Linked DNA regions of Rhinolophus ferrumequinum. The protein of the gene in region 2 interacts with the protein of the main gene of each other region in a pairwise test. Links are inferred from orthologs where the notes say so. Each region holds a gene or a part of one and is shown on either strand. Other genes may lie near its edges.

The links.
Region 1: the proteins of ZHX1 (region 2) and ZMYND11 interact in a two-hybrid assay, tested with the Homo sapiens proteins (2 studies listed by BioGRID and IntAct). The link is inferred for Rhinolophus ferrumequinum from reciprocal best matches to the Homo sapiens genes ZHX1 and ZMYND11.

What each region holds. Positions count from the first base shown.
Region 1 is NW_022680364.1:419,604-427,679, forward strand, and holds the start of ZMYND11 (zinc finger MYND domain-containing protein 11), read left to right. Parts: upstream 1-4,925; 5' UTR 4,926-5,047; intron 5,048-5,399; exon of another isoform or gene 5,400-5,603; intron 5,604-5,669; exon of another isoform or gene 5,670-5,811; intron 5,812-6,069; exon of another isoform or gene 6,070-6,147; intron 6,148-8,076. UniProt on the Homo sapiens protein: Chromatin reader that specifically recognizes and binds histone H3.3 trimethylated at 'Lys-36' (H3.3K36me3) and regulates RNA polymerase II elongation. Does not bind other histone H3 subtypes (H3.1 or H3.2).
Region 2 is NC_046297.1:60,658,756-60,666,963, forward strand, and holds the start of ZHX1 (zinc fingers and homeoboxes protein 1), read right to left. Parts: upstream 3,083-8,208; 5' UTR 2,930-3,082; exon of another isoform or gene 2,843-2,929; intron 2,819-2,842; exon of another isoform or gene 2,707-2,818; intron 1-2,706. UniProt on the Homo sapiens protein: Acts as a transcriptional repressor. Increases DNMT3B-mediated repressive transcriptional activity when DNMT3B is tethered to DNA. May link molecule between DNMT3B and other co-repressor proteins.

The DNA.
Region 1 (8,076 bases), on a different chromosome or scaffold from region 2:
TGCTAACTTTCACTTTTTCTTTTACTTTCTTTGCCCATTCTGGGGGAGTTTTCAAACTAGGGATAAGAAAAAGAGAAATTAATGCAAATAAGAAAGGACAAGCCCCATGAATGGCAGGCACTGTGTGAAAGGTGACACCGGGCTCAGCTAGAAGAGGGAGGTGGAGAAAGCCTGGAAAGGCAGGGCTGGGTGAGGGGTAGAAACAGAGACACGCAGCTGTCAAGGAAGCAGAACTTTCTGTGTCTGACGTTCTCAGCGCGGTTAAATAAAAAGAGAAAAGGAAGTTGTGTTGTCTGCAGCTTTTCTCCGACTTTATCTAAATATTGCATGTGAGCAAAAGAGACCATCAAGCGATAGGTGCAGAGATAACGACAGAATCATTCAGGAAATACTTTCGGACTGTAATAATTTTTAAGAAAGTGTAATTTAGCACTACAATTATTTGCTTTTAATTTTAATGCTCCCCTAGATTTTTAGTACCTACCCATTTCACCCAAGAAATCTAAAATGTTTTACATAATTTTCTTCAGCTGTTTGATGGACTTATCACCAGGTATTTCCTCAACATACCAGGGAGAGGGTTAGAATACAACAGGACATTTTATGTTTCACTATTAGAAGATAATTTTTTCATGAACTATTTATTTAAAATTGTTACTTATCACCTAAGACTTTTGAAAATTTCTCTCAACACTGTTGGTATAACAAACCTGAAACCTCCATAAACATAATGTCACTTTTAATTTTATGTCAATTATGCAAATCTGAAAAAAATCTTCTCTAAATATTAGAAAATGGAGGATCTTTCAGAACAAGATACAGTTCCAAAGTCACTGATGGGAAACTAATGTTTCCTTAAACATGGATTTGTGTGGGGAGGAGCATAAATACCCAATCACAACTATCATGAAGGAAGAGAATAAAAAGGGAAATCTTAAATACTATACTCCACAGGACTGGGTGTTAAAGAAGCTCAGAATGTTTCTCACATGTTTTCCTTTGTTAGCACAAATAGTGGTAATGAGAGAAAAGAATTTCTGCCTAACGTGGCCCTGAGGGCCATGTGCTCAGATGCACTGTCACCATCACTGCGAGTAAACCTGGATGAGAACGGGGAAGCCAGTGTCTCCTGTCTAATATAAACTCACTACTGAAATCCTGCATCGGCTTGTCCTGTGTGTAGATTGTGAAAAAACTTTGTCCTCTCTAAATAGTGACAAGATGTTGAAAGGGTATCCCCGAGGAGAAACTGGAGGATGTATATAAAAATGTAAATGTATCTTCTGGTGTTTTATATGTTTAAAGGGAGAAGAGGGAGAAAGGACTCTACCTGGAGCCAACCAGTCTGATGACCTCTGCAGAGGCCAGGAGTCATTTAAGCCCAAACAAAACAACTACCAGAAGGGGGGAAAGAAAGAAGTGAAACCAGGGGTGAAGACAAATAAGGACGTGTGAACCAGGAAGGATACCTGATAAAGAGCTTGTGTAAAACAGCTTAGAATAGGCACAGACAACGGGATTCCATGGACAGGTGTGAGAACAGCCCTGGAGGTTGTGGCATCTTAAAGCACACTTAGTAAAGCTCCCTCACTTTACAAAGGAGAAGGCAGATGCCTGGAAAGGCTGCCATTGCCAAAGTTACAGAACTAGTTGGAAGCAGTGTTTGGGAAAGTGGCTGTTGGGTCCACCCGGGCTGATACTTGCATTTCTTCTTTTCCAAGGTATGGCAATTAGGCCGCATCTGTCCTGGGGCTTGGCTGGATGGAACTGAAAGTGTGAGGAAGCTACCTGGGGGGATGGGGACATGGGCTGTGATTGACAGGTCTGCTTTTATTATCCTGTGTGTCAGGCTCCAGGTTGTGACACATTTTATAATCTGTAGCTCACTTAATACCTTGTTTATCCTGTAAAGTGGGTATTATTGTCCCCATTTTACAGATGACAATAATAACAGGAGCTATTAATTATTGAGCAGTTGTTCCAACCAGGCACTATTATAGGAATTACACATTTTCTCAGTTAATCTTCTCCATGATTCTATGAAATATGATAATGATATCTTTCCTAATTTAAAGATGAAGAAAATGAAACACAAATTGGTAAATAACTTGTCCAAGGTCAACAGCTAGAGAATGTTGGAGTCAGGATTCTAATCCAAACAATCTGGTGTCAAAAATCCATGCTCCTGACAAATGGGGAAGTTGAGGTTCAAAAAGTGAAACCATTTCCTCGATGTCTTCCGGCATTGTAGCTTGAACTTGAACTCAAGCATTCTACACCAAAGTTTGTCTCTTTCTATGTGGTGTTGGAGAAGAGACAGGGCAAAAGCTAGGTCCCAGCTTAGGAGGGAAAAGATGCACAGGTGCACAAACACCCTTTTCATGTTCTATGCGAGCTGCTTCCCTTGAAATGTCCAGAAGCATGCTAGCTGGGCTGTGGTCGGTCCCTCTGTAGTAGCTACTGTACATTCACAGGCAGAAGCAGGAGACGTGCAGCACGAGCCTGACCGGAGCTGAAGAAACGCCTGGACCTGCGCCGGGGACCAGGCCTGATGGCTGGGAACCATGGAGTCGTGCAGGCAGCGGGGGACTGCACTTTCCATACAAATAGAGCTCCTGTCTTACTTACACCAGAAAGTTTTTTAAATTAAAATACGCATAGTGCCTGCTTCAGACTTAGCCACCAAGAATCGCAACGTTGGTAAATGGTAATTGCCATGACAAGGTTGGGTCCAAAACTTTTTGGTTTCAAAAACATGATTTTTAATCATCCAAGGTGATTAGGCACTTGGAAACTAAGCAACACTAGCTAAACTCATATATAGCAATTTAATACCAAAATATTAATTTACCTTTAGAGAAGATAGGGAAAAACTATATTCACATCTAAAATACTACCTATTACAAAAGACTATGAAATCAGCCAATCAGAAGTTAGAAACACACAGAATAAAATCAAAGGAAGTTTGTAAAATCAAAGAACAGCTACAAAACATTTTATTGACCCCTAAGGCATTGTCACTCTGCACTCTGTAGTGGCCAGCTCCGTGGCCATTCACTTCAGCCTCTATCTTGTATTAAATAATGGTTCTTCTCCACTCTGGGGGGAGGGGCTGTTGCATGTTTCATAGCAGGCCACACGTTCCTGTGGTTGTGACTTTTAGTTCCCTCCCTGCATCAGGAAACACCTCTAAAGGTAAATGAGTGAAGAAAATACCATGACAGGGATAGCCTTGCACACTCGCATGCACTCATTTGCAACAGTGCACACTCATTACTAGTAACTGATTGCTTGTGGTCATATCTTACATTGCAAAACTATGTGTTTTATAGTACTGCACATAGACGAATCTTTACTTCTTAAGTCTCCTTTTTCTGGATTGGCAGGTTCCAGGAGATACCGCAGGCACTCGGTCTGAGGGACAGTCCTGTCTGCTCTGTTTTCTAGGATGAGGATCCAGATAAGATCTCATTGCCTTGTCATTGTGATAAGATAGTGAGTGTAAGGTAATAGTTACTTAAACCCACTTTATGTGATTTAAAATAGTTAATCTCATTGATAAGTAACACATTTATAAACCTTTTCTTGTGGTGAGCTGCTTCTGACAATTACCCACATACATTTTACATTTATTTTTATTACGTTCAATTGCCTGATATTTATATTTTTTCGTTTTTTTAATATACATTTTGGGATGTGAACTATGTGTAGATTGCAGCTACAAATCGCTCTATGCAGTAACTAAAGAAATCAATGGAAAATAAGATTCTATACAACTGAAGTTTATAATTTGTTTTTTGAAAAGTGTATATTCTTTCAAGTAAGGGATATCTACGTGGTGTGGTTCCCATGGGAGCAACCAATGTCTTGGGCTAGTTATTAATTTTTTTCCTGATTATGAACAAAGATTTTTTTTTTAAAATGTTACCTGTAACCCAAAGAAATATGCATTGTTAACACTTTCTTCTGCATTATTTCCTTCTAATAGTTAAAGAATGGAGATCATATGTACAAGGTGTGATCAAAAAGCATGGTGAATGTTTAAATTTAAAAAATTATAAGAGTAAAAGACACATTGCCACTAACCCCCCTCAAAAATACTCCCCCTCGCTTTGAACACGCTTAGAAGAATTAGTGTTGTATGGGTGTCCTTCTTTAGGTGGTGTTAAGTCTCCGAAACATTTCCGAGTTGATGACACACTATTCCTTGTGGCCCACTATTCTTTCTTTTTCTCCTCTGCTCCTTTGTCGCCTCTTTGCAATCCGGCAGATAAATTCGTGGTGTAACATAAGTTGTATGGAAATAACTATTTAGTCTTTGGGCCTCCCCCCAACTCCCAGCCCCAAACCACTGGTCCCCACTATTTCCCCCACCCCTACCCCATCTTCCCTCAGCTGAGAGAAAAACGAGGTCAATAAAACTGTTGTAAGGGAAAATAGAGCCAAGATTTTAAGTTCTAGGCAAAATCGATAGGAAACCTGGGGATAACCTATCTAACTTACATTAGTTAGAATGAGAGAGAGTATCTGGGTATAAAAACTGAAATTATGCCTAAAACATTTAATTGGAGAAAAATGTGGTGTCAGTCATACAGTCACTTGTTTCCTAAGGTGAGCTTCCTTTTATACATATTAATATATAATGTTGTCTACTTTATAGATGATTTTTTTTTTAAACCGTCATTTACTTAAAGCTGTTAATTCCTTGCTCCAGCATTTGAACCGGGTATAGCTTGCTTTCTTTGACACCCTTTAATCTCTCTGCTGGATTTAAACGGCATATATTTATGTGTAAAAATAAAATGAGTTGAAGTTATTTGGGGATGTCCCTTGAGAGAACCAAGAACTCTGTGGGGTGTATCAGAACCAGGGCTGTGAATGGCTGAAAGGTTGTTTCTTTGACCTGTTCAAGTACCGCCCATTTCTAAATCCTAACCCAGTCTAGAGGCCAGCTAAGAAAGATTGACGACTTGGATCAGAATCGCAACACTTCTTGGACCGTCTCTTCCCAATGATTTTCAGATCCATATGTGCAATGGGACGCAGAGTAAGAAATTTTGGCCGAAAGGTCTTCCTTCCAAATTCCTAGTGCAGAAAGTCATGAGGGAAAACTTGCGGCGTCTGCAGAAGCACGCCGACCTCAGGGACTTCCTTAACCGACACAGCGGGGTCCTCTCTGGTTAGACCTAGAACGAGCAGTCTCTTCCTCCTTGCACGAACTTGCAGAGTTTCTGCCTAGTTGAAAATGGGCGGCCCTGTCCTTTTGGAGGTCCTATGTGTGTGTGTGTGTGTGTGTGTGCGTGTGTGTGTACAGAATACGGAATCAGACAGCCCTGCAATTCCTTCTGAGGGCAGAATTAAAACGCTATCAAAGCCACGTCCCCAATTTTGCTAACGGGAGCATCCGCTCTCCTCCAAGGCCGGAGCTGCCCCGGCGGCGGGAGGCGGCGGCCCGCAGCGCGGCCGCGCGGAACAATGCGGGCCGGGACTTTGTGCGCCCGTCCGCGCCCGCGCGCCGGCACGTACGTCGCCTCCACGTGTGCGGCCGCGAGGTGCATGTGCGGCTCCGGGAGAATATGCTGGAACCGCAGGACGAAGGGAAGGTGGGTGTGGGCGCGCACGACGCCGGCCTTCGGGAGGGAGCCGCGCCTCGAGAGCGCACGGCGCGGCCGGCCGCACAATAAAGTCCGGGGGCGGGCGCCGCGGAGGAGGCCGCTTGGGAGCCGCGCGGGCCTAGCAGGACGCCGACTGCCCTGCGGCCGCACCGGCTTCCCGCCCGGCCCCCGGCCCGCCGCTCGGCGTGGAGACCCCGTAAGTGCGGGCGGCGGCGGGCCCCTTCCCGGCACCGCCGCCCGCGGCCCTGCACCGCCGCCCCTTCCCTCCCGGCGCCCGCGCGGCGGTGCTGCGGCTGTAAACATGGCGCCCCGAAGCGCGCGCCGGGGAGACGCCGGGGCGCGGGCGGCGGGGGCGGCGGGCTGCTGGGCGACGCCGGGGAGGGGGCCGGGGAGGGAGGGGCCCGGGCCGCGGAGCCGGGGAGGAGGGCGGCGGGGCGAGCGGGAGGCCGGGCTCGCGGAGACGCCGGGGCGGCAGGCGGAGGCCGGCGCCCAGGCCCGGGGGAGGCGGCGCGGCGCGGCCCGGAGCAGAACGGTGGGAAGGGCGCGGGGCCGGGCGGGGCGCGGGGCCGTGTGGAGCACGGCTGGCTGAAGCCTCTCGGGGCGCCGATCGGGTGTGACCGTCGCTCGCCGTCTCTGCCCGCGGAGCTTTGTGTGCGGCGGGCCGGGCCTGGGGGGTCCCGCCCGCGCTCCCCTGTCTTCGGCGGGCCCGGAGGGGGAGGAGGCCCAGAGCGAGACCGCGCGAGGCCTGCTGGGGCTGGGAAGCCGGGGTGTCGCGTGAGCGCCGCCCGCCAGGCTGGCCTTCCCCGCGCGGCCAGGCCTCGGGGCCGGCTCGGACGCTGCTCTGTGTGCGGAGGGCGCGTTCGCTGTAGCAGCTCGTTGTTCGGCAGCGATAGTCGAGGCTGGGCAGGCGGCCCCCAAGGACCCACGCGGGGCTCGGTCCGCGTTCCCCAGGGCTGGGAGCCCGCGACGGCGCGGCCTCCGCCGCCTCAGCAGGCCCTCCGGCCCCTGGGACTGCCCGTGCGGTCCGCAAAGGAGCTGCCAGGCCCTGGCTCTTGGGGTGGCCCTGGGACCCCAGCTTCCACGTGCACCGACCCTCGCGCTGCTCGCCTGGGCCGGCTCTGGACGCTTTACGGTGTGGGCCTGGTGCCGGGCCTGTCCATGGTCCGGTGTGTACGTGGCGCTGCCCGGGTTGTGTACGGTGTTTCCACTGTGCCCGGCATCGTGGCGTGGGCACGGAACTCGGTGTACCTGCTGCTGTATACGGTGTGCTCATGATACCGGTGTGTCCACGGTGCCCCGTTATACGTGGTGTGGGCATGGTGCCCGATGTGCACGTGGTACCTGTGTTACGTACAGTGTGTGGCCGTGCCGGCAGTCCACGGGGCCGGTGTTATGTAGTGTCTGAATGGTACCTGGTGTGGGCACGTGATACCCAGTGTTACATGCAGTGTGTCCGCGGGTGTCCGGTCCTTGCACGTCTGAGGTGTCTGAGCTCAAAGCAGGTGGCCAGGTAGCCTTTTCAGGATGGGTGTCTGAAGGTTGCATGGGTCCATCCGATTCTGAGGTTAGGTCCTGGGTCCTCCCGTCTACCTCACCCAGGTGTTTTGCATCCTACTGTGGGCCTTGTCCATGGAGGCAAGAGCCTGCTGAAGCATCATCTGTCCGTCAATCTGCCCGTAGAAAGGCAGAAAGTAAAACGTTTACTTACTTTACTTTTAAACTGAGAAATGTAGTTGAAGTGTATGTAGTAATTGTGGGATGCATAACCATTTCAGGATTTTGGGTCACTGATTCTAATTAATGGTTGAAGTTATCAGGCAGATAGCGTTGGTTATACTTGAAAAGTTGGAGTGCTTTTTGGTTAGCAAGGTCACCTTTGATTTTTCTGAATTCTAATTTGTTCAAGCGGGAGATGAAATACGAATTTTGTACAGGCATGTTATTTTCCTTGTCGTTGGTTAATTCGTGCTGGTTACAGTCATTATTTTGGTGGACTCTTCTTTATAAGATGGCCAGGCTGGAAAATCAAAGATTAGAAGATACAGAATGTGTTTATGACATAGTAAAATATTTTTCTTGCTTAGCTCTGCCTGTGGTTAACAGGATTTCTTTTTTACATCGTATTTTTTTTTAACACATGTGTTTCATATGACTGCTGAATCTCCCTTTTGCATTCTGTAATTGGGTGATTTAATTTTTGCACTTACCTTTTACAAAGTGTTTAAATAAACATGCAAGTGCTTCCAGCTTTACAAAGAAAAAATCACAATGTTAAAATTTAGCTCCTTTGTTCCTATTGAATATTTCTCAGATATCATTGTGTTGCTACTTTGAGTGAATGTCATCTTGCATGTTTCTGTGAATTGACGTGTGTTTATGTGAACTCCCACCCTTTTGTAACCCGATCCCCATTTTCCTTTAAGGGTTGTTGAGATAGTGTATAATAGAAACATTCATACTC
Region 2 (8,208 bases):
ACTTCCCTGAATGTATTGAAATGATGTATGATTGGAAACCAGCTTAGGCACTGAGCTTTCAACACTGTTAATATTCAAATAAGTAAAGTCTTTTGAGCACAAATCCACAATGCCACAATGTACATAAAAAGATTATTTCCTCTGCTACATTTGTAATCATTTTAACAACTTTAAGAGTACTTCCGTTTAAGTACAAAGCTATAATTTAAAGCAAACTAGTCCCAAATATCACATTATTGTGCCCAACTAACATTACAAGAAAGAAAATGTATAATACATCATAACATCAACTTTCAGTCTTAATGTGAAATATAATACAAAAGGGGAGAAAATTTCCAAAATAAACTACCTCACCTATTCTATTAAGTTCATTAATAAAATAATTATAAAACTTAATTCGCATTTATTGAAATATGAGTATCATTAAAGGTAAAAAATAATTGCTACATCATTCATGAGCTGTCCTCCAAATTCAAGGAAATAATCAACTTGCTATAAGGGAAAGACACCTACTAATGAGTGTTCCCAGCACAGGCACATTTATGTTTTCAGCCTTAGCATATTTTCAAACCATCTGGCATCAATACCACTCTGGATCACCCAGCCTAATCTGTTCAGAATTGAATATAAAACTAAAGCTACATGCACTTTGGGGAAACCAAAGAACAGCACACATGTAAAATAATGTTCCAAATGTGCAGCTCGAAACTAGTTTATACTTGAAATGTGTTTTTAAAAAAATTTCCATTGAAGATGTTAAAGCGCTCTTAAAAATAGTAGAATGGTTCAAGAAATCTGCATGAATCATAGCTGTCATCAGTTACCCAAGTCTTAATTCTTTTTTTCTCATTTTCATCCTGATTATTAAATAAAGCATTTGAAGAGGTTCTTTTACAAAAAGATTCATTGATACATGAAATGCTATCACTTCTGTGTTGAAAGGATCCAAGAATTTACATTTTATCTTGCATAAAATTAGTCAGCTTAGCCCTAAAATGCTTAGAGTAAGCAGAGAAAAAGTGAGAGGAAAAATATTCATGACAGCCCTTTCTCTTTTATACATCCTGTTACCGCATTATTGTCTTTGGCAGAACTCAACATTGCTTTTGCTTATAATCAAGAGTCCAAACTGCTACTTGAGAAATTTCAAAAAATCTATGGATATACTAAGGCCAATATCCCTGTTAGAACCAACTTCTGTTCATCCTCACTGTTGGCATAAAAACAAACGTCTGCAGGATAATTTGTCAAAAGCTAAGATCATTCACGTAGCACCACATAACACAAGTTAATTTAAAGCTTTCAGACAAAGACTGAGAAGCAATGACCAATACCAACAAATCTAAACGTGCATTTGTGTAGGTACCTACACACATACACTCCAAGCAGTCACCATTCCTGGGGGAAAGCTGCTTCTTCCTCCCTAACTGTGAACCATTCTATTTCCCAGTCCTGTGATTTTCCCTTTTCTGCTGCTATCCTCTTCACCTCCAAGGGAACTGCTTCTTCCTTTCAAGTTACATGGAATCCCAACCTAATCACATTACGATTTCTCGATCAATGAGCCTTTGCTTACATCATCGCCCCCCACCCCACCCCACCCCGCCAAGATTAGCCTCTTCTCTTGTTTTTCTTTAGAGCTGGGGCGAGAGATGAGAGGGCACCTCTGTGAATTCCCGCTCTGACCAATCTCTTCCCTATATCCCTCCTCTATCCATCCCCTTTCCCGCTTCCTAATACTCCTACCCGAGTCTCGCATGGAATCCTTGCCAGAGCTTCATCCTTCACTAACCTAAGCTAAGGATATTAAGGGGTACCCGTTCTTTCTCTGGGGTTTTGCTTTTTCCTTACCGTTAGCCAAAGAGGGGAGAGGGGGGGGACACGCATGAAACAAAGAATTTCAAGTCTCTTGTACCAAGAACTTTGGTGGAAATACACGGGGACAGGGCATCCCTCGGGGCTCTTCTTTCCTGCCATTAAACCAGTTTCCTCTCCTATCTCCTTCCCAGCCCTTCATTCCCCGCAAGGATGAGGCGATTGTTTCCTTTAGGCCCTAAGCTTGGAGCAGTCCTTGGTCAGCCTCCTTGTTTCCCTCCTGAAAGGGACCGGTAACAATTCCATTCTCTGTAATTAACTTCACCCTAAGTCCCAGGGCTTCCTTAAAACGCAATACAGTTCTTAAGGACTCAACTCTGAGTCTTGCCCCAAAGCGGGGGCACGGTCTGGCCCCAGAGTCGGGTACAGCTTTCCCCGAATTGTTTCCCAGGGCTCCAACCCAAATGCCAGTGCGCTCAGCTCCAGCAAGAGAATCTCTCCTTACTTTCAGGGAGACTGAGTCCTCACCAGGCCACACGCCCCCCAGCAGTGCAGGGCTCCCGATCTCCCTTAGGACCCTAAACATTACTGGGGTCCTCCATCCCTGCGGCGTCCTCCCCCCGGGAGACCCAGTCTTCACACTCCTCAGCAATCCCAAGTTGCTCAGCCCTCTCGTAGGCTGGGGGAGGCTGAGATTTTCCCTTACAGAGCCCACTCCCCAGCTCCTTCCCCGGCCGCAGAGACCCCGCATATGCGAAGGAAGCTCAGGGTCTGCGGCCGGTGGCGATGCCCGGCCCAGGCAGGCCCGGTCCCTCCCCTTCGGACGCCCAGCGCCGGGTCCGCCCCGCCACGCGCAGCCCGGAGCACGCTCAGTCCCCCCGGGGTCTCTACCCTGGGGCCGCCCTCCTCCATCCGGTCCGCGCGCCACTCGCTTTCCCCGGCCGCCGTGCCGGCCGAGGGCTCTGAGCTTCCGGTTCCCACCCGCAGCCCCGGTGAACCCCGGCCGACTCGTCGCCGAGCCGGCTACCTGCAGGGGCCGCCGCGCCTCTCAGCGCCCCGCCGCCGCCATCTTGCATTTCAAAGCGGCTGCACTTTTCAGGGAGTCAACTCTGACCTGTGAACCTTACACCCGGAACCGCTCGGCGGGCCAGCACACGGCCTCCGAGCTCAGCGGGCCCCGTGGAACCGGAGGGTCGGGGGTCGGGGGTGGGGGGCGAGGCGAGGCGCGCGCCCCAGCGGCCGGCTGCGGGTGTGGAGCTAGAAGTGCCGGCCGAGGCGGGGCCCGCCCGCGCGCGCGCCCTCTGCGCGCCCCCACCCCGCTGCGCGCCGGGTTCTTCACTCCCGGACCCTGCTGCTGCGGTGGGGTTCGACCGCGGCCTCTACCCCCTGAATTGGCGCACCGCGGGAGGTAAGGAGCTGCCCCGCCCCGCTGTCAACAGAAGCCCCGCCTCTGTTTACGGAGGCCCCGCCCCCATCAACCGAAGCCCCGCCTTCTCCAAGTCTCAGAGCGGTCCCGCCCCTTGCGGGCGATAGCTCCGCCCTCTACCAACAGAAGCCTAGTCTTCACTCAGGTCTATCCTGAAGGCAGCTCCGCCTTCTGTCACTGTGGCCCCGCCCATTGAGCGCTCCGCCTTCTTATTGTCACCGCCGGGTCTTGAGAAATGCCCCTTCTCATCGTAAGCCCCATTTCCAGGTGGCAGTTCTGTCCAAACCCCGCCCTGTTTCAACGGAAGCCCCGCCCTCTGTCAATAGAAGCCCCGCCTTCCTGAGGCCCGTCTCGATTCTAGCCCCAAACCTCACGACCTGTCAACCGTCACCCCGCCTCTTGCCTCTAGTGTCCCTACTCCACCACTAGTGGCAGCTCTGCCCGCTGACACCAAAAGTTCCGTTCAACCTCACTTCGAACCGCTGTGCAAAACGGTCCCACCCTCTGTTCCCTCTGCTCCCCGAAAGCCCACCTTTCCCCGCTCATGAGTCACTATTCAGGAGGGCTTTCTTTGCAAGCTGTGGTCCTCAAATCCAGACAGCTTCAGTGTGAACCAGCCCCGCAGAGGGGGCCATCTGAGGGCCTAGGCTTTGGGGAAAACTGGACGTCATCATCGTCCCTCCCCACCTCCCCTTCCCTCAACTCCCACATCATTTTTAAAATGAAGAAAAGTATAAACCAAAGCAAAGAGAAACGACTCATCCTTCAAGCTACTCTGCACAGATTCACGGACCCGGACGTGAGAACTCGGGTGACTTGAGGTTCATCCCCCACCCCTACTCCAGTCATGGACCCTCTGTGCTTTGTAGTGCTCCACTGAACTGCATCAATCCTAAAATACGCAGTTGATTAAAGTGAAAGCCTGATTGTTGAAATCAATGCACAGCTTCTTTTCATTTGTATGTTTCATCTCAGAATACTAGGTGGAAGCAGAAGCAAGCAAAGCATAATGATTTCATAAACAGAGGTTCTCAGTTCTGCCATACTCAACACCCTATATTTACAACAAAAATCTAACATCATTTTACTCTCTTGGAATTAAATTCATAGCTAATGTAAACTACGCAAATAATTTCAAGAAACCAATATTCTAATAACATAAAGGTGAAAAAAGAGAAAGTTTATACTATACTCCAAAATGCTATACTAATATCAACAAAAATTATAAAATGTTTTTCACTATGTAAATAAATACTCCGCACCAATATGAGAACTACAGGACACAAACTGCCCCCACAAAGTTTCAATACGCCCCCTAGGGGGCAGTACTGTGCCCCCTGAGGCCTTCTCTAGTACTTATCTCTGAGGAAAGGAAATGCTTCAGATACAGAAATTCAATCTTTTGTTCATGCATTTAACAAGGTTTTCTGAGCCCCAACGTATGCCAGGCAATGGAGGAGATGCAAAGCTGAGTCAGGCAATAGTTCTGTCTTCAAGGAGATTACAGTCTAGCAACCAAGCAAAAAACATGAACATAAAAACATCAAGTAAGGTTTAAGGTGAGATCAAGGAGAGGTACATAAAGAGACCACTTTAAGGGTATGGAGTGATGAATATAAATCACATCTCTCTCTCTCTCCCTTCCCTCTCTCCCCCTCATCGTCCTTCCCTCTCCCTCCCTCTCCCTCTTCCTTCCTTTCTCCTTCCCTTGCTTTTTTTCTTCCTTCCTTTTTTCCCCCTCCTTTTTCTTCTTTAGCACCAGTTTATATAGTCACCTCCTTCTCTCTATAAGCTGTCTGCCTGATTCACTGCCCAATGCCAGCAGCCTACAGTCCTCCTAATTTAGGGCCATGCCCACAGGGCAATTCTGTCCAGGAAAACAATTTTAACAGCACAGTGCTGAGAACAGTGTCCTTAGCTGAATTGCTGCCAATTATTTGGTATCCTTGTACAAAGCAAGACTGTTACCACACATAAAAACTGGTTGCAGACCTAAGCAATATGAATATATGTTTAGCATAGCAGATTGTGCCAGCCCACATAAATCTGTTTAGAGACCATGCTCACAGAGTAACTTGTTTTTATTAAAATAAACTCATTTGTAAAAATTGTAAATATGACTGATTTCAACAGCTGTGTGGCTCCAGAAGTAAGTTTTTAACCACGGATTGGCACAATTAGAAGAGTCTAGATTTTTTTATGCATATGTTTTACAGTTTGTCATACACAGATTGGTATGGCAAAATTTCAGTACTGTTAGAGATGAGAAGTTGTCCAGCAGTTTTCAAAAAACACAGCACTTTTGCTATTCAGAGCCTCTTCCACCTTTGGAATAGTGAAAAAAAGTATTTGTAGGAAATGAAGAGTTTTGAATCAAAAGTTGTAAGCACTGGTGCAATCTGAAGAGGAATAGGCTTCCAACAGCATTTTTTTGTAGTAGTTTCCTTGTTATTTTCCCCCCTTTTCTACTCTTAGTGAAAAAGTATTCTAAAAAACATGATACCATGAAACAGATCAGCTGAAAGGACATCAGACTAAAACCCTTTAAACTTTTAACTATATAGTTCAGTGAACTTGACAATTTAGCACTAGTGAAACACTCCCACAATTCTAATGGCTACTTCAGAAGGTGAACAAAAATGTTCCTGTTAAAGCTAGCTCAGACTGAACAAACTTCAAAGTCAATTTAAGGTCATTGCCTATTCCTCTTAATGCTAGCTTTGTGAAAACAATAATGTTATTGATAATAACAGTAAAAACAAGTTAATATTGTTGGTAAATGCCCTCCCCACTCCACTCCTTTTTTCCTGTATCTAGCATAAGACCACATCTAGGACTATAGGAACAGGAAAAACTGTTTTCTCAGTATTTATTCAAGGAGTAACATGTTGATATACTTTTTTAAACATCAGAGTATCATCTGGGTTGTTTCATTCACTGTTGTGTACTCTATTTCCACCAAAAAGTTGGTGGCTATGTCTACACTATGTCTGCAAAAAAAAGGTGCCAATGTATCTTTTTTGACCTAAAATCTTAGGATGCAAAACAGCCTAGGGGAACACCCAACTAGAAAGCAATAATAGAGTAAGAAAATGCAATGCTTCCTTGTGTTTGAAATTCTTGGCAGAGGAGTCTAAGCAGCAGTTCTAAAACTAAAAGGTGCATGAAATTATTGGGGAATTTTGTTTAAAATGTAGATTCTCAGACCCCGCTCCTTCCCAGGACTCTAATTCAGGACGTCTGGGATGAGGTGGTGAAATCTGCATTTGACAAACAGCTGGTGACTGTTATGTAAGTGATCTATGTAGAATTGACTCTGAGAAATACTGATCTAGAAAAAAAGCTGATAATTGGGGGACAACGTAATGCATTCTTGTAGAACTAAAGGTTTCAAGCTATAAAAAGTCAGTATCTCTAAGGAGAGAGAGCCATTCCTAAAACTGTCAGTTGCTTGGACATAAACACTGAAAGAGAAATTCTACTTTTGGACCCATTGCAGACTTCCATCTTCCAGGAATCTCTGGGTACTTTAGACGTACTATCTCATTTTACCTTCCTGGTGTCTGTGTGAGATAGCCACAGTTAACAAAATGAGGAAACCAAGGTTTGAAGTGGTTAACCTACCCAGTTGCTCAGTAATCTGCAAGATTTTGAACCCACCCTGACCAATCCTAAAATCAAATGAAGATGCTACATAGGCTGCTTCTCAGAAGGAAAGTATTGCATTAGCCAGGGCACATGTGCGCAGGATTTGAGAACACTCACTGGTGTTGGAGTCAGATGGTCTTCTGTTCACGTCCCAGATCCTCTGCATGTACATTTGTTGCTGCCTAACAAATCCACCAAAACTTACTGGCTTCAAAGTCTAAGCAATTATTTAGCTTGTAAGCCTGTGGGTCGGCTAGGTGGTTCTGCTGATCTGGGTCAGGTTTGGCTGATCTTGGCTGGACTCGCTCACGCCTGCGTTCAGCAGGTGGGTTGTCTGGGGGCTGCCTGGTCCAGGATGGTCTCATTTACATATCTGGCAGTTGGCTGTTAGTGGATCACCTAGGACTGGCTCGTCTAGGATGGTCTCACACCTCCAGTGGTTGGCTGGCTATTGATCACAGGGGTGACTGGGCCTTGTGTTCTCATCTGCCAGAATAGCCTGGACTCCTTCACATGCACAGGGTTCTAAGAAATCAAGAGGCAGCATTTAAGACCGCTTCAGCCTAGCCTCAGAACCGACATACTACCATTTCTGCCACATTGTAGTGACCAAAGCAAGTCGCGGGGCCAGCTCAGATTCCACCCCTTGATGGGAGCAGCTGCAAAGTCACACTTTAAAGGATGAAGATACAGGAAGAGCAATCAGTCATGGCCATTTTTGTAACTCATTTACCACAGTAACTTTAATTAAAGGCAGGTTTCTAAGCCTCTGTTTTTACGCATTTGTAAAATGAAGGTAATACTACAATTGTTGTGCCCCATGTTGAAGGGTTGATAGTTCATGCAAAGGGTCTGGTTTATCTTAATTTCTCAGATGATGCTGATGCTATCCTCTAGGGTCTTTCCAGCTGGAAAGTCTTATGTAGCTGTGTGAAGAGAGATTAAGCTGCTTTTGTTTGGTGGTCCCTCAGGGTAGGACTTTGGCCCTGATTTTCTCTCTTGATTTCATGATGTTCCAGTTAATGCTCTCTGCTTGTGGTACAGAAACCCACTCACGCTAGCTCAATTAAAGAAGCCAAAACTACTGTTTGTCCCTGCATGTCCAGCCCATCCTCTCCTCCCGTGACTCTCCTTTTATACTTTTTTTTTCTTTTAAGGAGGGCGCAGCTCAATAGTGGCCCATTGTGGGGACAGAGTCCCAGAGAGCAGTTTCCAGGCTCTCGGCCTCACATGGAAAGGTAATGGTTCGGGTAGTAGCTCAGGTAGTAGATGGTCATCAGCTGTAACTAGTTGGCCATCAGCTGTTATCATTAGCCACT